Caenorhabditis elegans: one gene and its partners. The protein of the gene in region 1 interacts with the protein of each later gene in a pairwise test. Each region holds a gene or a part of one and is shown on either strand. Other genes may lie near its edges.

Evidence for each region.
Region 2: the proteins of sem-5 (region 1) and ftn-2 interact in a two-hybrid assay, tested with the Caenorhabditis elegans proteins (3 studies listed by BioGRID).
Region 3: the proteins of sem-5 (region 1) and src-2 interact in a two-hybrid assay, tested with the Caenorhabditis elegans proteins (3 studies listed by BioGRID).
Region 4: the proteins of sem-5 (region 1) and C11E4.6 interact in a two-hybrid assay, tested with the Caenorhabditis elegans proteins (3 studies listed by BioGRID).

The regions. Positions count from the first base shown.
Region 1 is NC_003284.9:7,958,929-7,963,312, reverse strand, and holds sem-5 (Sex muscle abnormal protein 5), read left to right. Parts: upstream 1-1,589; 5' UTR 1,590-1,600; coding exon 1,601-1,678; intron 1,679-1,728; coding exon 1,729-1,829; intron 1,830-2,000; coding exon 2,001-2,123; intron 2,124-2,170; coding exon 2,171-2,278; intron 2,279-2,326; coding exon 2,327-2,463; intron 2,464-2,962; coding exon 2,963-3,102; 3' UTR 3,103-3,860; downstream 3,861-4,384.
Region 2 is NC_003279.8:3,679,641-3,682,476, reverse strand, and holds ftn-2 (Ferritin), read left to right. Parts: upstream 1-1,549; 5' UTR 1,550-1,577; coding exon 1,578-1,634; intron 1,635-1,682; coding exon 1,683-2,036; intron 2,037-2,085; coding exon 2,086-2,187; 3' UTR 2,188-2,297; downstream 2,298-2,836.
Region 3 is NC_003279.8:14,320,250-14,328,256, forward strand, and holds the start of src-2 (Tyrosine protein-kinase src-2), read left to right. Parts: upstream 1-1,987; 5' UTR 1,988-2,037; coding exon 2,038-2,283; intron 2,284-2,331; coding exon 2,332-2,453; intron 2,454-3,313; coding exon 3,314-3,435; intron 3,436-4,220; coding exon 4,221-4,418; intron 4,419-5,053; coding exon 5,054-5,124; intron 5,125-6,779; coding exon 6,780-7,043; intron 7,044-7,102; coding exon 7,103-7,391; intron 7,392-8,007. UniProt on the Caenorhabditis elegans protein: Non-receptor tyrosine-protein kinase which may play a role in larval and pharynx development. Unlike src-1, does not play a role in embryonic development.
Region 4 is NC_003284.9:9,608,936-9,616,571, forward strand, and holds the start of C11E4.6 (ANK_REP_REGION domain-containing protein), read left to right. Parts: upstream 1-1,627; 5' UTR 1,628-1,640; coding exon 1,641-1,765; intron 1,766-1,812; coding exon 1,813-2,152; intron 2,153-2,342; coding exon 2,343-2,573; intron 2,574-3,088; coding exon 3,089-3,437; intron 3,438-3,552; coding exon 3,553-3,867; intron 3,868-3,915; coding exon 3,916-4,227; intron 4,228-4,275; coding exon 4,276-4,404; intron 4,405-4,642; coding exon 4,643-5,163; intron 5,164-5,585; coding exon 5,586-5,756; intron 5,757-5,826; coding exon 5,827-6,049; intron 6,050-6,154; coding exon 6,155-6,285; intron 6,286-6,409; coding exon 6,410-6,555; intron 6,556-6,610; coding exon 6,611-6,854; intron 6,855-7,338; coding exon 7,339-7,473; intron 7,474-7,516; coding exon 7,517-7,636.

The DNA of each region.
Region 1 (4,384 bases):
ACGAAAGTTGGTCGAGAAGTGGGAAGTGGTGGAAATCTAATGGCAGTTAGAAAGTGGCCAAAGTAGGTTGAGAAGTGGCCACGAGTTGCCGACTACGGAACCTAGTAAATTTATTGACAAATCAGTCACATAACCTTGCTCTTGGAAGTTCACACTGTAAAACAGTGAGAATTTTCAGAAAAGTTATATGGATATATTTAAAGAACCAGTGACAAAATTTAATATTTTGGTTCTTAAAAAAGTTAATTTCAGTCATATATTAGTTTTACTATAGATACTGTTCTTACGATTTTGTATTAGTCAGGTAAATACACATTTGTCAAACTAACTAGTAGTAAATACAGTTGGTTTCCAGCTAGAAAACACTATTCCTTATTATATTTACGTACACTCACCGATTAAAATGTCAAGTATTTATGAGTAACTGTCACAGGTTCGATTATCTTTTTTATATCGGTTAAATTATAGTCTTATTTCGTAATTTTCATTAAATTTTTTAACTGCTAAATAATTTTCCAGCAACTGAAGTTCAAAAATTTGATTGAAGTTGCAATCTATTTATGTTTCCTATCTAATTTATCATCTCTAGCCCTATTTCCGAAATAGTTTTCATTTTTATTTTTGAAAAGAGAATCGGTACTGACTACCCAGCACACCCAAATGTTTTGATTTCTAGACGGTTAGTCACCTCAGGCTGGACAGGACAAGGTGGGAGTGTGTTTGTTGACATTCTTCTAATCGATGAATTGCAATACCCAATGCCTTGGAGCATTTTCAATTTGATTCTTTCTTCTTCGTTTTCTCGTGTTCTCTTATCACTTTTCATTTGTTCTTTTCCGTTTCTCCGGCCATTCATTCAAAAGTGTAAGAAAAGACGTGCATGATGACTGCTGATAGCGTATCGCACTTTTTTCTCTGAATCTCCATTTGAAACCATGTAAATTACAGAACTCATTGCGGAAAACAGTACGGTCCGGCCTGCCCAAACTCGCCGTTGTTTTTGTGTGTGTGTGGGAGAGACAGATAGAGACAGTGCGAAGATGGGAGAGAAAAAAGAGACACGAAGAACGCGTGATAGATTTGGAGTATTAGAGAAAAGTAGTGTCGTAGCATTCGGCACATTTAGTGTTGCATACAATGCGCCGGAATCGACGACACTTAGTGTTGCCCCGGTTTGTTACTCTCCGGTTTCTACTGTTTCCACTGTTTCCCCGTTTTCACGTTCAAACACTCAACTAAAACCACCTCAATCACCGAACTAGTGACCCTGCGGGTTTTTATTTTGCGTTCTGCGTTTCTCAATTTCATTTATCCTTCTTTTTTCTCGCCGGTCCTCTTACTCATCTCCTGTTACAATTTGCACTACGCTCTTCTCATTCTCATTTTCCCTCTCAGTTGTTCCTCTATGCTTTGCCGCTAGATTTTTTTATTGCTCTAATAATTTTTCATTGGCGCCGCGCGGATATGTCGATATGTAGATACAGTCTCTCAAGCAGGCCAATTTATTGACAACAATGTTTGTTCAATGTACTCTGTTATGTTTTATTTTGGTGTTAATTGTTTCTGAAGCTGCAAAGAGTATATTTCAGGTAGCGAGACGATGGAGGCGGTCGCCGAGCATGATTTCCAGGCGGGATCACCTGATGAGTTGTCTTTCAAGAGAGGAAACACGCTAAAAGTTTGTTCAACAATATCATAACCGGGCCCTGATAAAATCAATAATTGCAGGTTTTGAACAAAGATGAAGATCCACATTGGTATAAAGCTGAATTGGATGGAAATGAAGGATTCATTCCTTCTAATTATATTCGTATGACTGAATGCAATTGGTATGTTCGGGAAAAAATAGTTTGACTTTTTTGAGGATTTAATCTATAAGCTTATATTTTAAAAATCAGTCGATCTTACTTCTCGCGGTTTTTGTTTGTATACCCCGCAGCTAGGGCGCGAAGAACTGAGAACGCTTGCGTAAACAATTTTTAAAATTTCTGGATTTTTAGGTACCTTGGTAAAATAACAAGAAATGACGCAGAAGTATTGCTGAAAAAGCCAACCGTACGTGATGGTCATTTCCTTGTCCGACAGTGTGAAAGTAGTCCAGGAGAATTTTCGATCAGTGTTCGGTAAGAAGATGTTATAGATTTTCAAAAAGTTATACATTTTTTTCCAGATTCCAAGATTCTGTACAACATTTCAAAGTTTTGCGTGATCAAAATGGTAAATATTACTTGTGGGCTGTCAAATTCAACTCTTTGAATGAATTAGTTGCTTATCACAGGTGAGTCACACTTTTTCAAAAAAAAAGTAAAAAATCAATAATTTTCAGAACCGCTTCTGTTTCGCGTACTCACACAATATTGCTGTCAGATATGAATGTGGAGACTAAATTTGTACAGGCCCTGTTTGATTTCAACCCACAGGAGAGTGGAGAGCTAGCTTTCAAAAGAGGAGATGTTATCACTTGTAAGTGTTTTTGAAACACAAATTTTCATGATTTTAAAATGTTCAATTGAAAGTTTGAATCAAAAAATTCTAGGTTTAATTGAAAATGGTAAAAATGGATATATCTTGGACTGTATTTCGAAAATTTTGAAACTATTCACTTTATAGATCTTAAAACAAGAATATTTAAGAAGAACCATAAAAATAACAAAAAGGTAATACAAAGTACTAGGAAGATAATATGAGACGTCTTGCTTAAACTAACTTTCACTGGAACAAATAAATGCACGTATTGAAAATCAGTTGTTAGATTAGTTTTTGTATAAACTCAAATTGAAATGAAAAAACTCTGTGGCTATTATTTACTTTTCGGAGAAACATTGGATTTCAAGATACAATTTGCAGCATTATGAATGTTCACAACGTAAAAATAGAGTTAATCGGTTGATCATCTATTTGTCGGGGTTGAGCAACCCCGAAAAATAAAACATTTAGAAAATCTCTTATATTTTATTTTCAGTGATCAACAAAGACGATCCAAACTGGTGGGAAGGACAGCTGAACAACAGGCGTGGAATTTTCCCATCCAACTACGTATGCCCTTACAATAGCAATAAGAGCAACTCCAACGTGGCTCCTGGCTTCAACTTTGGAAATTAGGACGTTATTTTAGGATTTTTCCTGTCTCTGTTCGTTCTTTAAAAGGAGCGTTCAATGTTTCTTCTATACCATTTGTTCTTGACATAGTAGTCTAATAAGCCCTCTCTTACTTAATCTCCAATAATAATCACTAAATCTTGTCACAAACACACTTTCCAATGCTGGGTATTAATTTCACAACTTTCTCAAAACTGAGATAAGTTGTTCGTGTTTTACATGTAGACCATGAATTTTCAATGTTTTTATTCTTTGCAACTTGGAACTGCCATTGGCAATGTTTTATCGATTTTTTGTTCGGTTTCGTTGGCAATGATACAATTCTTGTTGTGTTATCAACAGCCTTTTCTTTCCCGCTTTCTTCCAACCCCACACCAATTCTATTACGGATCTATTAAGCGATTAGATACTCTGACACAATACTCAGAGACTGTTCGCATTTGTTTTTTTTTGTGTTCATGCAATTTTTGTCATAACTATTTGCCATTTCTCGTCATTGTCTCTCTTTTTCTTTTGACATTTTGCAATTCATCCAAAACCAATACGATTTTTCGTTCGGTGCTACATTGTTCGGTTTTATCACAACTCACACTGTTCTGATATAGTTTTATCACTTCATTCTATTCCTCCGGCTCAATCTCTTGTCGAGAGCATCATGAAGCTTCTCTCTGCCTCCCACTTTACTCGCCGTCTTGCTTTTATATCGAATTTGTCAAGTATTTTCCAATCCCTTTGTAAATCAATGAAGGTTAATAATTATTATATTAATCCACTTTCTATAATTTTTACAGAACATAATTTGTAGATGCAAAGTAGTTTATCTGGAAAATTTTGCATGTGGAGTTTCCTTTAATGACATTTTCACATTTTGCAAGCTAGTTTGAACAAAATACTCAGACATTTCGAATTTTAATAAAAGTCTTCTCCGATTAGTTTTAAAGTTTATACGGCTCTAAAAACGAAATTAAACCATTAGTTAAAATTCTATAACGAGTCAATGATAATAATTAAAATGAGCGTAATGGGTTGTGAAATCTTTTGTCAACGGAAAAGGTGAAGTGGTATGTTTTTCGAACTTAAAAATCAATTTTTTTTCAACCAAAAAGCGCGCCGTCTTTACTTATTTCTTGGATATACCAGATAACAATTTATTCTAAATTTTAAGTTATTTTTTTAAATTATAATTTGTGAGTCTCAAAAATGCAATAGTGCTCTCAATTTTTTTAAAGCAACGTTAATGTCTTTTGCTTTACCACACCTTTGATTAACAATTGAATTTTGAAAG
Region 2 (2,836 bases), on another chromosome or scaffold:
CGAACAAAAATTTGTTTCGAAAATAGAGCCCGTAAATCGACCTACAGTAGTCATTTAAAGAATTACTGTAGTTTTCGCTACGAGATATTTTGCGCGTCAAATATGTTGCGCAATACGCATTCTCAGAATTAAGATATCTGATGTAATTAAAGAAAAAATCTGTCAAGGTTTGAGTTATCATAAATGTCTGCTTGATTAGTTGATCAATGGAAAAACGAAGACAAAAAGAGTAAAAGACATTCGTCAAACGGCGACGACAGAGAGCACGTACCGCCTGATAAGCGACTCACGTAGCCTATCTTATCAGCATCTCAACTGTGCACGCACACACACAAAAACCCCCGGCTCCATTTGGTGACGACTCACGTGATATGATGGCAGAATGATGATCAACTTTCCTACTTCATTGCTATCGATTCACCGATGATGATAAAAAAGGGTCAGGGACAAACAGAAATCACGGGATACGACCTAGATTGTACACATAACAGAAAGATTCCGATTTCTACTCATTCCTTTTCAATAATCATGACCGAATTCACGTCACTTTTTAACATTCGTTTTTCTTCTTCTTTTCTTCAAAATATATTTCATTTTTAAAAATGAATTCTGTTCGAATGCTCGCTAAGAATGCAATTAGACCACTCATCAAAACTCGGAGTTATACTGGATTCTCTCAGTCGTATGTTATTTGCTTGAATTTTAGATTCTTGTAACTCCTGAACACTAAAAACACTTTATTATTACTTTAAAAAATTCTGAGAATGCGTATTGCACAACGTATTTGACGCGCAAAATATCTCGAAGCGAAAACTACAGTAATTCTTTGAATGACTACTGTAGGTCGATTTATGGGCTCAATTTTCGGAATGTATTAAAATAATTTATTTATCGAAATGACAAAAATCGAAAAATTGAATATCGATGGCACAGAAATTCATTACAAAAATCGTTTTCGCTACGAGATATTTTGCGCGTCAAATATGTTGCACAATACGCATTTCGAAAGCGAGTGGTTCCCCTAATAAAGGAACTTTTAAGTTGAAGCATAATACTATTACGGGAAGACAAGTTTCTGAAAATGCGTATTGCGCAACATATTTGACGTACAAAATATCTCGAAGCGAAATCCACACTAATTTTTAAATGGCTACTGTAGCGCTTGTGTCGATTTAAAATTACTGTAGTTTTCGCTACGAGATACTTTGCGCGTGAAATATGTTGCGAAATACGCATTTTCAGAATTTTGTGTTCCGTAATAAGTAGAACAAATAACAAAAAATTCAACTTTTTCGCTTGAGATCACATTTTCGAAGTTTCTAATTTCATTCGCACTTAATTTGCCCTATCTTCCTTTTCTTCCAATTCACTTGATTTTTGCCATTTTCTGACGCTGATCATAGTTTTTTTGCCTTCTCAAAATCTCATTCTTTTCCTTAACCTTGTTCCTTATCAATTGATAAGATGCACACCGTCTCCGCCTCCCGACGTGCTCCACCCCTTTCCTGCTTAAATACCAACTATTTATGCTCATTGAGCAGTATTGCAGCCTTACCAGCCACAAACTACCATCAATAATGTCTCTCGCTCGTCAAAACTACCACTCCGAGGTTGAAGCTGCCGTTAACAAGCAGGTACGTCTTTATTTCGATGTTTCTAAACTAAATCCCCTAATTTTTCAGATCAACATTGAGCTCTATGCCTCATACGTCTACCTTTCAATGTCATTCTATTTCGATCGTGACGATGTTGCCCTTCCAAACATTGCCAAGTTCTTCAAGGAACAATCGGATGAGGAGCGTGAGCATGCTACCGAGCTCATGCGTGTGCAGAATCTTCGTGGAGGACGTGTCGTGCTTCAGGACATCCAGAAGCCAGAGAATGATGAGTGGGGAACCGCCTTGAAGGCTTTTGAAGCCGCGTTGGCTCTCGAGAAGTTCAACAACGAGTCGCTTCTGAAGTTGCACTCGACAGCCGGAAACCACAACGACGCGCATCTCACTGACTTTATCGAGGAGAAATATTTGGACGAGCAGGTGAGGATTATTCTATTTTTTTTAATTTAGAATCTGATGAAATTAACAGGTCAAATCTATCAACGAATTCGCCCGCATGGTTGCCAACCTCAAGAGAGTCGGACCAGGAGTTGGAGAGTACGTCTTCGATAAGGAACACTTTTCCGATTAATTAATATATATCTTATCTGCTCATCGCATCTTCTTTTGTTCTCTCTGTACATAATTATTTGCGAAAATTTACAAACATGCCACAATCTGTCAAATGAAAAGTATTGATCGAAGCGTTTTTGTTTGCCACAGTTCATTATCATACTAATTCCGTGTCACAATCTTTCTTGATAAGCCGTTTGGTCTTTAACTTTCCAAAGACGATTTTAAAATTCTCGGAATTCGAAATCGAAAATGGAACAGAATAGGAATGAGTGTGAAGTGCAAAAAGCAGGCAGATTAGAAGATTTCCATCGGCCTTTGTTTGACTTTTTTGCAATCGAGAAGCGATGCAAATGGGTTAGCGAGATGAGTTATGGATTCGCCAGGAAAAGAAGGACATTCTCCTCCGCTTTTGTTTATTTTGATTTGTTTTCCTGGGGAAAGATTGATTCGGAAGGTGTGATGGATGAATTGAAACACATCAGTTTTAACTCTAACAGTAAGATTTTCTATTATTTGATTTTTCAATAATTGTTCAAAGAATTGTGCTAACTCAATTTTTGCCACTGAAGCTTCACATTTACTTCGGAAATTATTGCAGAATTTGGCAATTAAACAAACCTTTGACTAGAAACTTCAGAAATTTCAAAAATTTTCACAGTTTTTTA
Region 3 (8,007 bases), on another chromosome or scaffold:
AGAAATTCGCTCTTTTTTCTCAAAAAATTTGAAAAATTTTAATAAAAAGTTTACCGATCCAATGAAAGCTTAAATCCCTAGCCTGTTAATCAAATCTAATTTGATAATGACAGCTTCATCATCCTCTCTCTCTCCCTGTCCTCTCCGCGCGCAAAAAAAGATGTTTTCCCACCAGCGCGCGGGCGCCTCCGCTGCTGTCGAAATTGCCATTTTTGTAGGTCTGCGTCTCTTGGGATCAGTATGCTACCTGCAATTGGGAGTTTAAGGCACGCGCGTTCCGCAAATGTTTGCTAAACGGCGCGGCGGAGAGAGGGAGAGAGAGAGAGAGATGCCTGACCTCGGTGGACAAATAGTGAGAGGGATGAAGAGAGAATGAGACAAAAACAGTTCCCTCTTCTTTTTCACCCCAAAGACGGTGGGCTAGCCAGCAACCGGCTAAATGAATTTCTTTCCGGCTTTTGGGTTTTTTACCTAATATTTTGTATTTTCATAGTTCTTATTATACAATTTTCGCCAAAGATAGAAAATGTAGTTTTCCTTTTAGGTCCCCCAATTTTAGATTATACTACTACTTTGGAACATAGTTTTTAGGCCTTTTTTAAAAGATTTTTTAGCTTTGGCTGAAAAACTCCTGGAACTGGGAATTTTGGCCCAGAAAATTGTGACGTCAACACGTTCTTAACCGTGCGACAACAGTTGGCGCATTTTTTGTAGATCACACCGTTATGGGACACTCTGACACCTTGTCGGAATATTGTTAGCCTAAAAAACTTTGATCCCTAAATTTTGTTGCTCACTTTATTCGAGAGAAATTTCAGTTTAAATTCTAGGCACTGAAATTATAATAGTTCTCGATTAATACTATGAGTTCCTTTCCTGCTTTATTGTAACCTTTTAGCTTGAAATTTTACTTTAAAAACTGAATTTTCTACTCTAGAAGATTGATATATTGAAAAAGTTGTAACTCATATATTATAATTTAGTGCCAATTTTACGGTCAAATTTTTTGATTTTTATTAGCTGACAACTTTTCATATTTTTCAGGATAAAATAGATATAGTAGTAGTCCAGAAAGTTATTTTTATGGCTCCTAGAAATCCATACAACTCTTTATTGGGGCTAGATGTCAAAAAGTTGTCAACTAAAAAAATGTAGCAAATTTTATGCGTAATGTATTGTTAGTTGACAACTTTTTTATATTTATTAATCTGAAGGTGTTATAGTCGATTTAATACAGCTAGTTAGTCCTAGCTTGCCCCTGAAACCCCATAACGAAGAAATATAAGAAAATTTCGCATTAAGTATTTTATTGGTTCACAAGTTTTGTGTTATTTCTTTTTTGAAACTAGTCCAAAATTATTTTTACTTGACTGATCATCTTAAAAATTTTTGCAAGTTTTCTTGGGCCCTTTTTTTTAATCGCTTACAAAGAAATGCTCCAGGCTCCTTTAAATTGTGCAGCAGACATTTATCGCTGCATTTTTCCAAATTCCCACCTAAAGTTTCGCTAAAAATGAATTTTCTGGATTTATAAACCCTGTAGCTCCCCAGCGTGTCAAGTAGTCAGAAAGTTTTTAACTGATAAAACGAAGTAAGCTTTGAAATCTACAATTTTTTAGTTGACCACTTTTTGATATATATATATCAAAAAATAGATTGACATACCAAAAAATAGATTGGCATATCAAAAAATAAATTGGCATATCAAAAAACAAATTGGCATATCAAAAAACAAATTGGCATATATATATATATATATATTTAAACGATTCATGGCAGTTTAACGCCCACACCTATTTTGCCCTGGCTCCTGGAAACCCCTATAACTATAACTTTAATTGGTGCTAGTGTCTATCAAAATGTTGTCAACTCACAAGTTGTAGTAAATTTAATTTTTTTGATCTACAATTTGCTAATTGACAATTTTAAAACGCTATATTTTGTCCAGCGAACCCTAATGAACCAGAACTATCTAAATTTCTTCCAGAACCTCCCAAATCAAAAAACTGACGACACCAGGATCGTCCGTTCCTCCCCATGGGATCCTGTATTGGAAAAGAGGATCCACCGCCTGGTGCAACGTCACCAGTCCACACGTCATCCACGTTGGGAAGGGAGTCACTGCCAAGTCATCCACGAATTCCGTCCATCGGTCCGATTGCGGCGTCTTCCAGTGGAAATACGATTGATAAAAATCAGAATATCTCGCAATCTGCGAATTTTGTCGCTTTATTCCAATATGATGCACGGACAGATGATGATTTGAGTTTTAAGAAGGATGATGTTAGTTTTTTATTTTATTTTTTGAAACTCCATATCTCATTCTTTCAGATCCTTGAAATTCTAAATGATACCCAAGGAGACTGGTGGTTCGCCAGGCACAAGGCAACTGGACGGACTGGGTATATCCCGTCGAATTATGTTGCCAGGGAGAAAAGTATCGAGTCACAGCCGTAAGTTTTTTTTTTTTTGAATTTTTAGCCAGCCTAGGGAGAGAGGCCGGACTTGAACTTGTGACCTCCAGATTGCTGGTGGTTACCACTACCTACTGAGCTATCCAGCGCCTCTTTGTTAGTTGTCACAGGGGCTTGATCAGGTGTAACTAAAACTGTCATAACTCCTTTGGCTTGTGAGATACAAAAAAATTGTCAACTAGCACATTGTAGAGCAGAAAATTTCCTACATTTTGTTAGTTTAAACTTTTTTGATAGCTAGCACCAGTGAAGAGTTATAGCACTTTAGAGGTGTCAGCGGGGAATCAGAGCAGGCGTAGAAATGGTTCAACTCTTTAAGTGTATTTTTACCGGCAAAAGTTGTCAACTGACAAAATGTTAATTGTAAAATTTACTACATTTTCGTATTTTGAACCTTTTCAGTAACTTAATGTTTGTAGAGTTACATAGCTTTAACGAAATTTTGAAAAAAATAACATTTTTACGAAACTTAGAAAAATTCCAACTCACATTAAAACCTTAAAACTCGAATAATTTTGTAGTTCACTGGTAGTAGTACCTAAAATCAAGTACTTAATATTCCCTATATTTTGTTAGTTGGCGACTTTTTAATATTATAGCTAACACCATTAAAAAGTTATAGGGATTTCTAGAAGAAATCCGTGTAGGCCTTAAAACTATGATAACTTTTTAAAATTGATTGATATCAAAAAGTTGGCAACTAGCAAACTGTAGAACATAAAATTTGCTACAATTTAATAGTTGACAACTTTTTAATAGCTTGCTTTATTGCAGAGTTACAGGGATTCAAAAAATAAGATTTTAAAAATCCGAAAATCTAAATTTTTACAAATTTCCAGGTGGTACTTTGGAAAAATGCGGCGAATCGATGCGGAAAAATGTCTATTGCACACTTTAAATGAGCACGGAGCATTTTTAGTGAGAGATTCCGAAAGTCGACAGCATGATTTATCATTATCAGGTCAGTGAACTTTTAAGGGCGCCCCATAGGGCACATGGCGGGCGAAAACCGGTTTTCTGGGAGAGATAATCAAGGTCGGATACAACAAAATGAGAAAGGCGCGGTGACAGTAAGAGGCAGAAAAGAGGTTATCCCCGCTCGCCCCGACCTTTTATGATTCCGAAAGTAATGGGAATTTGGGAGAAAGGAGGCAAATTGGGAGATTTTGATGGGTTTAGATGGGTAATTTGGGATGGGGGAATTTAGATGGAAACTGTCAAAAATAGATGGAATATACATAGATGTTTATTTAATTTTTAAAACTTTTTTTAAAAAATTCGAAAAATCATTTTCGATTTTTTTAAAAAAATTTTATTGAATTTTTTGCCAATAATTTTCTAATTTTTTAATAAATGTTTTTTGAAAAACTGATAGATTTCATTTTTTCTGAAAGTATTACAAAAAGTTTTTATCTTTATTTTCAATTTTACAATTCTGAAAAATTATAAAAAAATATGTATTTCGTGCTTTGTAGTTTGTAGTTTGTAGTTTGTAGTGTGTAGTTTGTAGTTTGTAGTTTGTAGTTTGTAGAAAACCTTTCAAAGCTCTTTTGAGAGTTACCAAAAAACGTTTTTTTGGGAATTTTGAATTTTTCAAATTTATAATATTTCAGTATTTTTTTTTCCTTTGTAACATTCCAAAAACTGTCAAAAAAAAAACAAACTCATCAAATTCCAAGTTTTCTTAAATTTGAAGATTGTAGTTTGTAGTCCAAAATCCCCCTATTAATCCCAATTTTCTTGCAGTCCGAGAGAACGACAGCGTAAAGCACTACCGTATCCGTCAACTGGACCACGGCGGGTATTTTATCGCCCGGAGGCGCCCGTTTGCCACGTTACACGACCTGATTGCACATTACCAACGAGAAGCCGATGGTCTTTGTGTGAATCTGGGAGCTCCTTGTGCCAAGTCAGAAGCCCCACAGACAACGACATTCACATATGGTAAGCTGGAAGTTTTTATGCCTGACAGGTGCCTACATCTGCCTAGATGCCTACTAGATACCTCGGTGCCTACTACATGCCTAGATACCTTTTTCATGCCTAGATACCTACGACATGCCTAGATACCTACTACGTGCCTAGATACCTACTACATACCTAGGTAACTGCTTGATGTCTAGATGCCTACTACATGTTTAGATACCAACTATATACCTAGGTAACTTATTGATGTCTAGATGCCTACCAAATGCCTTGATGCCTACTACGTGCCTATTAACCTACTACATTCCCAGATACCTACTGCATGTCTAGATACCTACTACGTGTCTAGATGCCTACCTGATACCTAGGTGCTTACTTAATGCCTAGATTCTTACCAAATGCCTAGATACCTACTACGTGCCTAGATACCTACTACTTGCCTAGATACCTACTACATACCTTGATACCTACTACATGCTTAGATACCTACTACAAACCTAGGTAAATCCAGTAGGCAAAAGGCGAACCTAATTCAGGCCAAAGTTGACTTAAAGGTAGGCAGGCATTATTGTGCCTACCTACTAGGCCAAACAATTCCAGGGACCCACAAGGCGCCCAGTTACCTTTAAAAATGTTCAAAATTCCCATTCCAGATGACCAATGGGAAGTGGACCGCCGTTCGGTTCGTCTCATTCGACAAATTGGAGCCGGGCAGTTTGGAGAGGTAAGCATCATCATTCTCTTTCGGTTGTTTGCTTATTCACGTTGCCTGCCTGCCCGCCAGCCCCACAGCCCGCCAAATAGTGTGCACAGGCTCATCCTCCTCCTCCTCCTCCTGTTGCCTATTCCGTTCGTGTTTGATGTATATTTGTGTGTGTGTGTGTGTGTGTGTGTGTGTGTGTATAGAGAATTGATGGAGAACGAGATAAACAGGAGAAGATATGCTAATTGAGTGGGGGTAAGGAGATGATCTTAGGGGAAAATTGCAGGGGGGGGGGGGGGGGGGTGGGTCCCCGATGCACCATGTGTAGCCCCAAATTACAATTGTTAGGGTAGAGCCTGAAAAATTTTAGGTTTTTTTGTAAAAAAAACCCCAAAAAATCGCATGAGCAAGAATTTTTCTTGATATTTCTAGGCGCACGGGGTTCTGGCCTTCCTTATTGATTTTTTCGCGCTCCATTGACCTGGACAACGCGTGGGAAAATCGTGCACTCCACACGGACAACTACAACAAGTTTTAAAACTAAAATCGAGCCGCGACGCGACACGCAACGCGCCGTAATTCTACCCCAGATATGGCCGATCCAAAATGGCCTTGTTCGGCAAACTCTTCCATCTCAATTTATGAGGGGAGCCAGAAATCCGTGTAGGCGCTACTTTACACTCAAAATAAAAAAAAACTGCGTGGCGTGTACTGCAGAAAACCTAATATTTAGGCCCCGCCTTTCTCTCGTCCACTTACGGAGAAACGGCAAAAATTTTGACCCCAACCAATATCAGGCCGCCAACATCTCACGGGTTCCGCGCGTCGCTGCGTTTAACTCGCAGCGGGCGGAGACAGCTCGTCACGCCCACAGCAAGTTAAACGCAGCGGCGCGCGAAACCCGTGAGATGTCGGCGGCCTGATATTGGTTAGGGTCAATATTTTTGCCTTTTCTCCGTGAGCGGACGAGAAAAAGGCGGGGCCTAAATATTAGTTTTTTATTTTGAGTGTAACTCCCAGAAACCTCTCAGCCTATGGACTAAAAAACTTCAGGCTTTTATTTTTCCGTGTTTTTCTTAATCCAGGGGCTTTTAGTGTAGATCCTAAAACAACCGGATAAAACGGTTTCCCCTTTTTCTATTGACTTTTCCATCTCCTGATCCGAGCAGCTACAGCCGCCAATATTGAAACAGATAGGACCGGTTTGAAACATGATATCACTCCCCTACAAACATCAGTTCCGCTAGGAGATCTCATAAAACGAAGGGATCTGGAACATAGAGATTTACCACTAGGGTTATAAGGAAATGTCGATGCACCATGAGTAAAAACTCAACCTCGAATATAGATAGCAAGGCCCTAAAATGAATGACAAATGTTCTCATTAGAGCGCACTTAAATTTGCAAGCATGAACGAAAATATGAGTTTTGTAAGAAATTTAATCTATGAAGCTTCAAAACCATGCGAAAAATGGCTAAACATACGAAAATTCTTACTACAGCTTACTAAAGTGTGTGTTTGAACTTTGAACTTTTTACCTAACCCCGCCCCCCCCCCCCTTATGCTTGCATGTTTAAGTGCGCTCTAGTGAGAACATTTGTCATTTTTTAATTAGAGCGCACTTGCAAATCAGCTTGCAGATCCTGGATGTACTACATAAACCATCAATTTCCAGGTATGGGAAGGCCGATGGAATGTGAACGTCCCCGTCGCTGTGAAAAAGCTAAAGGCCGGAACCGCAGATCCTACGGATTTCCTAGCCGAGGCACAGATTATGAAGAAGCTCCGGCATCCGAAGCTTCTGTCCCTGTATGCAGTCTGCACACGTGATGAGCCGATTCTTATAGTCACCGAGCTAATGCAGGAGAATCTGCTCACATTCTTACAGCGACGAGGTCGGCAGTGTCAGATGCCTCAGCTGGTGGAGATCTCGGCGCAGGTGAGGTTCACGTTCGGATTCCTCGAAATTAAAAAAAAATTTCAAAAAAAGTTTTGCAGGTTGCCGCTGGAATGGCCTACCTAGAGGAGATGAATTTCATCCATCGAGACCTAGCAGCACGAAACATCCTTATCAACAACTCCCTATCTGTAAAAATCGCAGATTTCGGGTTAGCCAGGATATTGATGAAGGAGAACGAGTACGAAGCAAGAACCGGAGCACGGTTTCCGATAAAATGGACGGCGCCCGAGGCGGCGAACTATAATCGATTCACAACCAAGTCGGATGTCTGGAGTTTTGGAATCCTGCTCACCGAGATTGTCACGTTCGGACGGTTACCCTATCCAGGTGAGGATTTGAACCGACCCGTTTGATCTACACGAATTGCGGAAATTTAGGCGCAGACTTTTCAACTGATTTCGCATGGTTAAGAGTGTGCTGACGTCACCATTTTCTGGGAGAAAAATTCCCGCATTTTTTGTAGATCAAGCCGCAATGAGACAGCCTGACACAACGTAAGATGGTCTCATTGCCGCATGACCTCCAGAAGTGGCGGGAATTTGAATTAAAAATTTTGACGTCATATGAGCTTTTTTGAAAACTAACATCCCGCCTTTTATTGAGGTCAAATTATTTTTTTTACAAAATGGTACCAGTTCGCTAATTATAAAAATTAAGTCCCTTATTGAAGGGGCCTTGAAAATTTCGCAAAACTTTGGGAATAGGTCGCGTCAACTAAAATGTGGAATATTCCTGCGCCCTTCGCCGTTTGATCTCCGGGAATCGCGGAAAATTCAAATTTTGAAAAATGCGATGTAGCCTAAGTTTTACTGTAGAACGTGGTGTCAGAGTGTCCCATTTCGGTTTGATCTACGTAGATCTACAAAAAATGCGCGGAGTTGAGACGCAGAGTTCTAAAGTGATTTTTAGAACGAAAAACTCCCGCATTTTTTGTTGATCAAAC
Region 4 (7,636 bases), 1.7 Mb from region 1:
TTTTTATTTTGATTAACATAAGGACAATTTTTCTGTAGAAAGTGAGCAGAAATAATCAATTTTTTTTTTAAATCACATTGGAAACTAAATCCTCAACGCAATTTTAGATGTTTGAAGTGATATGTGTTTATTATTCACCTACATATGCAACACGTTGGAAACACTTATTACAACTTAACAGCACGGGTTTATCATTCTTCCTTCCTTCCACCTTCTCCTCTCAATTTCCACCCTTTATCTTCCCTTTACTGCACTTCATAAGTGCTTTTATCTCTTTTTCTTTTCCTCTCGATTTGCAGCATGTCATTATCTTTTTTGTCGTATATGTTTAAGTCAACGATTATTAACTTCAATTTAAGCATCGACCGTGTATCCTGTGCTATTATGTTTTTGTTGTTTGAGGCTATTTTGAAAAGTGCACAGCCTCCTCCGCATGTGCTCACTAGTTCTAATTGAATTTATCTGATTATTCGAGGAGAACCTTCTCAGATGCATAGAGTTGGTTTTTGTTCAAAAAATTTTTTCTTAGTCAGAAGTTAAATGTAATGTGCACCCATCACTGATCATAGTACATATGAATATAAAGTTTATTCAGCGAAGTTAAGGATTCTAACATGTAAAACAGCTGAATTATTTAAATTAGGAAAAATCGGTTAAAATCACCTTGAAAAATGTTGCCATATTGACTATAGCTATTAAGTAATAATTTTCTAAATGGAATTCATATTAATTCAGCTGGCAAATTTGGAAAAGTGTTTTGTCACCATCATGTTTTATTTTTATTTTTTGTAATTCAGTTAAATTGTTGGACGCTATGTTTTTTTGTTGAAGAATTGACACGAAATTCGTTAAAACTATAATTATCATTTTTTAAGAACATATCCGACAACTTTTCGTGAGAGCCATTGCAGTTTATAAAAGGTATCTTGTTCTAGTGGTACATTTTAGATGTAAACTCGCAAAGAGCTGATAATATGAGGAAAATCTTCACTATAATTTTTCACCTAAGAATATCCTTGATGACTACAACTCGAACTCAATTTTCCATAAGCTACTATTAAACTTTTTTTTCCTACATTGACCATTAGTAGTATTAGCTGTAGTTATATTCTTTGTTGTTGTTGTTGCATCCAATGCACTCCTAGACCGACAAAAATTGCAAAGAAGAAGAGGAGAAAAGAATGTGTAGTTTTGTGGAGTTGTGAGTGACCGGCCATCCACATTGCGCCCTTCCTATTCCCATCACCCTGCTTTCACCACTCTTGTCGAGATTTTGGTGAAAAGCGAGTAAAATGCAATACATTACGAGGCATTCTTCGCGCGGGAGGAAACCCGGGGACCCCCTTGCTTTTCATCTACAACACTCCCTTTTTCTACATATTTCGCATTTCCTATCTTTTTATGCATTACTACTTCTTGTGGACCCCTTGAGTAGCAAAATACAACTACATCTCAAAAAGAGAAAGTAAACAAGATTAAGACAAAAAACTATATGTGTTCACAAAATCTGTTCTTTCTCCTATATTCTATCCGTCTTTTTTGTTTCCTACTTTTCTTTTTGTTTTTTGACATGAACATCTGCTTTCTCTTTTGTCCTAAATTAAATTCTGAATCGATCATTTTACAGGAGCTCAGATGAAATGAGCCTCAAAGACTTTGTCATATCAAAAACCGAAGTAATCGATGCTTGTAAAAAAGGAGAATATGATAAAGTTGCGTTGTTTCTCAGCTCGAAAAAGGGCAAAAAGATTCGAAGCGGGCTGAAGTAATACTTATTTTCTAATTTTCAAATAAACTATTGATATTTTTCAGATTTTTCACAACGCGATCAGACAGTCATTGGCTCGCCGACTACAAAGATGAAAAATCTGACTTCACCTTACTCCATCATGCGGTTCTCGAGAATCAAAATCAAATCAGTAAACTCCTTATGGACTACGAACCACTTCTTTTACTGTGTAAAAGTACAAAAAATATTTTACCAATTCACTTGGCCGCCTGGAATGGGAACTTGGAGATTGTGAAAATGCTTCTTTTACAAACAATGGAAAAGCCCGCAGATATTCTGAATGCAGTGAACATTTTCAATGAAACTCCACTTCATCTTGCAGTTCAGAGATGTCATCTTGAAGTTGTGTTCTATTTGATAAAGGTAAGCAAAGATAACTTTGAGAATTAAAACTATTCGACTGTGAACAGGAACAACATTCATATCTATAATAAGTTATTCAATTTTGCAATGCGTTTGACGTTTGATTCTTGTATAGAGATTAAATTGTTGACAGATTTAACAATTGTTAGCTTGAAAAATCACGTATCGTTTCAATTTCCTTAAATTTCAGAAAAATGCCGACCCCTTCATTCGTAATGAAAACAAGGAAAATGTGATTGACGTTGCATCACGCATTGGATCTGCTGAAGCCATCAGAATGTTGTGCCAAAAATGGCCAAAGTTTCCTGTGCAGTCAGCATATGAGTCTCTTCGAGTTGGAACACCGGACATAAAACGGCCCTTTCCGGCCATATACCCATTTCACCTTGCAGCAAAGTATAATCACGTTGAGTGCATGCAAGTGAGTTGCTTTTTCCACTTTGCTATTCATTATTCAAGAATTGAGTATAAGAGTAAGGGTGATGCAGAATAGTTTACTCCTTGCGTGAATGTTGGTAGCAATTTGAGAATAGCAAAAAAACGGGGTTAATTTTCTGATAGGCGTGTTTCATATGAATCTGCAAGTTTGTACAATGTTTACAAATTTGAAATTCGAAATAGATTCGATAGTAACATGCTTATGATTTCATTTTCATAACTCATCCCAAAAAACGTTTAGTTTGAAATATAAACACTCAACAGATATTTTTTTGACTGTGCACTTATGCGTCACGGTGTTTGCGGTTTTCCAACAAAAAAAACTATATTTTCTGTAGTAAATATTTTGAAACACTACTATTTATTATTTGTATTTTTGTAGTTTAATCATAGGTTTATAAGACTCATATGTTCTGTAGATTTTTTTAGTTAAACAAACCCAATCAAATAATTTACTGTTTCACTTAAATGAAAAATGTACTAAATGTTTAATTTCAGGCTCTTCGTGAACATGGTTTCTCCATTAACTACACTACGGAAGATGGGACAGCTCTACATGTGGCTTCTGCTTGTGGACAGGCCGAGGCAGTCAGGTTTCTGCTGGAAATTGGCGTGAACACTGATATCAAAAATCAACACGGACAAACAGTGCTCCAAATGATCATCGATCTCCAGGAGAACCGAAGGAATGAAATCGCCCATTTTGTAAAAAATCCGGAAGGATGGAAGGAATGTAGAACAATTATCGAAGGAATGGATAGAAGAGACTCTGGAAGAGAAACCGAAGGAAGTCAAAGTGACAATGAAAGAGAAGCAATTTGGCAACCACTTCCAAGTCAAGCAAGCGGTGGGTTATTTTTAAAACTAATAATATGTGCATTGTAAGGAACATTTCGGTTATCAATCGAGTTAAGCTCAAAGTTCAAAATCTGAATGATAAATAAAGTTATTCACGATTTCAGTTCAAGTATACCCGGATCAACGAAGAAACAATCATTCCATCTACCAGCCACCTTCTATTTCTGCAAGACTGCGAGATTTATCCCCCGACGACTCTACAGAAGCTTTGAACAGTGTTCGATCAGAGGGGCCTTACACCACACACTCTATCAATCGTACATGGAACAGTTCCATGTTAGACAGAGCTCCAAGAACTGGAAGGTTCCCGTTGACATCGCCTAGTTATCACTCAAAGCATTATTCGTGTCAAAGATCCAGCGATACATTGCCAACGAGGCTGAAAAATGTTAGAACGAGGCCAACAGAAAAGCAAATAGGTAATCTATTATCGATATTCTGAGTTTACGGATTGACTTTATTTTCAGCTTCTGTACTCCCGGGAGATAATTGTGCATACAACTCTCCTTCAAAATTCAATGAATGGCAAAAGAGTCAACTGACCATTAGCAATCGTCCGCCAGCACCATATGACAACGTTCCGAACAACTCTGCAATATTCGTCCGCCCCAACTCACCAATAGCAAGATCTGCATCACTCCGTAGACAATCCGGATACGCAACACTTCCAAAACTTGCCACCTACTCTCCAAGAATTCCAGATCATGGTCGTCCTGACCTGAATGACGCCTTTATTCAAGACCCAGACAAAACAATGGATAGGTCATTGAATCGGAACCGTAAGTATAGGAAACGACTCTAATTAATATAAAATAAAGACTTTTAAGAGTTTTCTATTTCCCGAACTACGTGTGATCGTGAAGAATCGCTGGGATTGACGCAAAGTCCAAGACTGGACACCAGAGCAAGCAGCATAACATCATCCTTGACATACGCGTGCTCGACACTTGACAAAGGTAGGCATTTTAAGCAAAAATGGAATGATTTAGGGGCATACGACAACCTAAAAAATTTCTAGCATATGATGTACGAGTTGATAAGTTCGGGTAGATTATGAGAAAACGAATCTTCCAACACTGATCTCATGCTCGGTATCTTGTTAACTCTGAAAAAAAACTTTGGTCAATGACAAGGAAAAAATCATTTCCTAAACTTATGGAGTCCTGAAGTCAATCTAAATAAATGCAATTTCAGATAAGTTCTTCCGGGAACGCGAACGTGATAACGGCCGTGCACCATTGGCAATGCCAGAAGAAATAACAGGTTCAGTGACAGGCAGTGTCATTTACAGCCAAGGAAATGCGAATCAACATCTAAATGGGAATTATGAGAAAGACAACAATGTGACTGCAATTTTTTTAGAAGACGTGATGAGACCATCATCAAACTCTGCCGAGAGCCCACCTTCCCCAAACACCTCTAAAGCATTCATCTTTGACGCGTTATGTGGAAAATCTCGGCTGGTTGACTCTACAAATGTTGATTTCTTCTCTGGATTCTCGTCATCGTCAAATTTGAGCCACAGAAGCACTGAATCAACGTCGAAGGTGCAGATGAATAGCAGTTTCACTGAGCCGGAAGAGCCTGTCCGAATCCGCCGTCAAAATGGAACAACGAACCTTATGCTGAATTCACTTTCACCCACAGATAATTTGTCGTCCCCCTCATCAGACCAGAAATCAGACACGACCAGTGAAGAACCTAGTTGGGATAGGGTAAGTCGATCAGGGGACAAACCAATTTTTGTTTATTTTTTCGTAACAATGGCGTATCTGCAAAAAGCACACGGATTTTATGTTTCTCAACAGTTTCTCAATAGTCAGCTATTGTTAATGTAAAGAAAAACAGATCAGAAGTTTTTTTTAATGATAAAAACCTGCACTCGCTGTGCGGGCTTAATTCTTACGGTGTATTTGAAATACAGAGCCAGAAAAACTGTAATAGGTCAGTCTTTTTTGTGTATTTGCAAAGCTGGGTAGCGGGAATAAAACGCAGTAAAAAATAACGGCAGCGCCTAAACGTTTGTGCGTTTTTGGATTATCAGCATTAAACAACAAAAAACGATTTAAATGTCAATTCTATAATTTCAAATTTGAAAAAAGTGTCAGTGAAACTTTGTTAATTTTTTGTATAACAGGTGGAAAGTGTATTCGATTCGTTTGGTGCAGCTCCATGTCGTGAAAGTGTTTTTGTTCGTGAATACGAGCCACGTGTGGCAGTTTACTTACGTGATCGTGGGTCGAAAGCGTTGAGCGTAACACTTGTCGAGGATGAGTTCAGAGATCACAAGTCGCTTCTTGTAAAAAAGGTACTTTTAGTTACATTTTTGTTTCAACTTCCATTCATGTCACGTTTTACACCGGTTGTTCATGTTTCAGCAACCAAAAACAATAATTGAGTGGTTGGAAAGTGATGTTATGTTAGCCCCAGTAGCGGCTGATTCAGTTGGAGCACTTCTTCAAACTCATGGATATGATAGAATGGATCAACTAAAAGGGATAATAAATAGAAGTATCCTTACGGAAATCGGAGTAGATGACGTCACCAAGTTCAAGATAATGTCAGAGATTGAGAAATTGAAGGATGATGTTGCTAGTGCTGGTTGGTTTTTTTTTGAAACATAAAACACATTCATAAAACACATTTACTCTGCCGGAACATTTTAAGAAACCTTCATCAATTTTTCAAATCACTTTTCAATTCCAGGACGTTTCTTCTATGTTAGTGAATGGCTCAACTTCATCGGACTTCAAGATTACATTTCCAACTTTGTCGGTGCAGGATACAAGCATATGGCAAAATTGACAGAAATTGACTGGGACACGGCAAGATTGATGGTGAGTAAATTTGTTCAAATAACAACTTTTGTGATTTTAAGATACTTTTTATCACTGATTTCGCGTTTATTAATCAAAAAATATCCATAGACCTGTGATAATTGTTGCATATTTTTAATTTCAGCAACTCGGTGTTACTCGTCCTGGTCACATTGCTAGAATGCTCCATTCGTTCAAAAAAGCAGAAGACGAAAAAAGAAAAGAGTACAATAATCGACTACAGATTAAGCCATTAATGTCACCTCCTCCTCTGCCGCCAAGGTCAAAACAGTAAGTTTTTAATGAGAAATAATTTTCAAAAGAACAAACATTCAACAAGTTTCAGAAACAACTGTGCTGAATGCCCACAAGGCGATTTTGACAAGATCAAGAACAAGTTGCTGCAGGGCAACGTGGTGTATCGTGCACACCACCTCGGTGTTCTGGAAATTGGAGAAACCGAATGCTCTGATGAAGCTCATGCAGCTATGACAAGAATCAAAGAGTCGATAATTGACTGGGAGACTATTCCACGGGTTACTTTGGATTTGACTTGCAATGGAATCACTATCTTCGATGAAACTTTTAAGGTAATGATTAAATTATCACCTAATGGAATTGACAAATTGTAAAAGTTCAGCAGAACTGAGAAGCGGTTAAAGAATAAGGGGGTCGGGAAACAATAATTTAACGACTGATACACCTGCATTCGTTGCAGGAAAGTTATGACGTGAAAGTATTTCATAAAATCTGATTACTTATGAAATATACTTATACGATGTGAAAAAAACACAAAGATATTTTAATCGTATGGTATTTCGGAAATTGGATTTTAGAAATAGAACATCATATTTCTCGAACCGAGAATTCATATTTTGTTTGTGTTTATCAATTTTATCAATTGTATTTTCTCAGCAGACGTTAGAGGTTGAGACGTTTTTTGACTAGTCTAGGAAATTCGCCGCAATCGGATATCAGCTGTAGGCCACAAAAGACCACCCGCAATATTAATTTGATTAGAAAATCCGAAGCGTTGACAAACTTGCCCCCCGATTAATCTCAATGATTTTTTAGACTCTACTTGACGGCTATGGTGTCTATACAATAAGAGTCGTATGTCAGGATAGAAAGGATCTCAACTTCTTCTGCTTTGTTGCAAGGGACACTGAAAATCGTTTCTTTTGTCACACTTTCTGTGTGCTGACCTCGGTATTTCGCACAAATAATGCCTTAGAAAAGTTCATATTTCTAGGGAATTGCCGCAGAAATCATCACCACAATCGGAATGATGTTTGAGCTCAGAAGCAGAATGGACAAGTCTCTGCCAATCGAAGGAACAATGGTACGATGCCGGCATAACAGTCAGCAAACT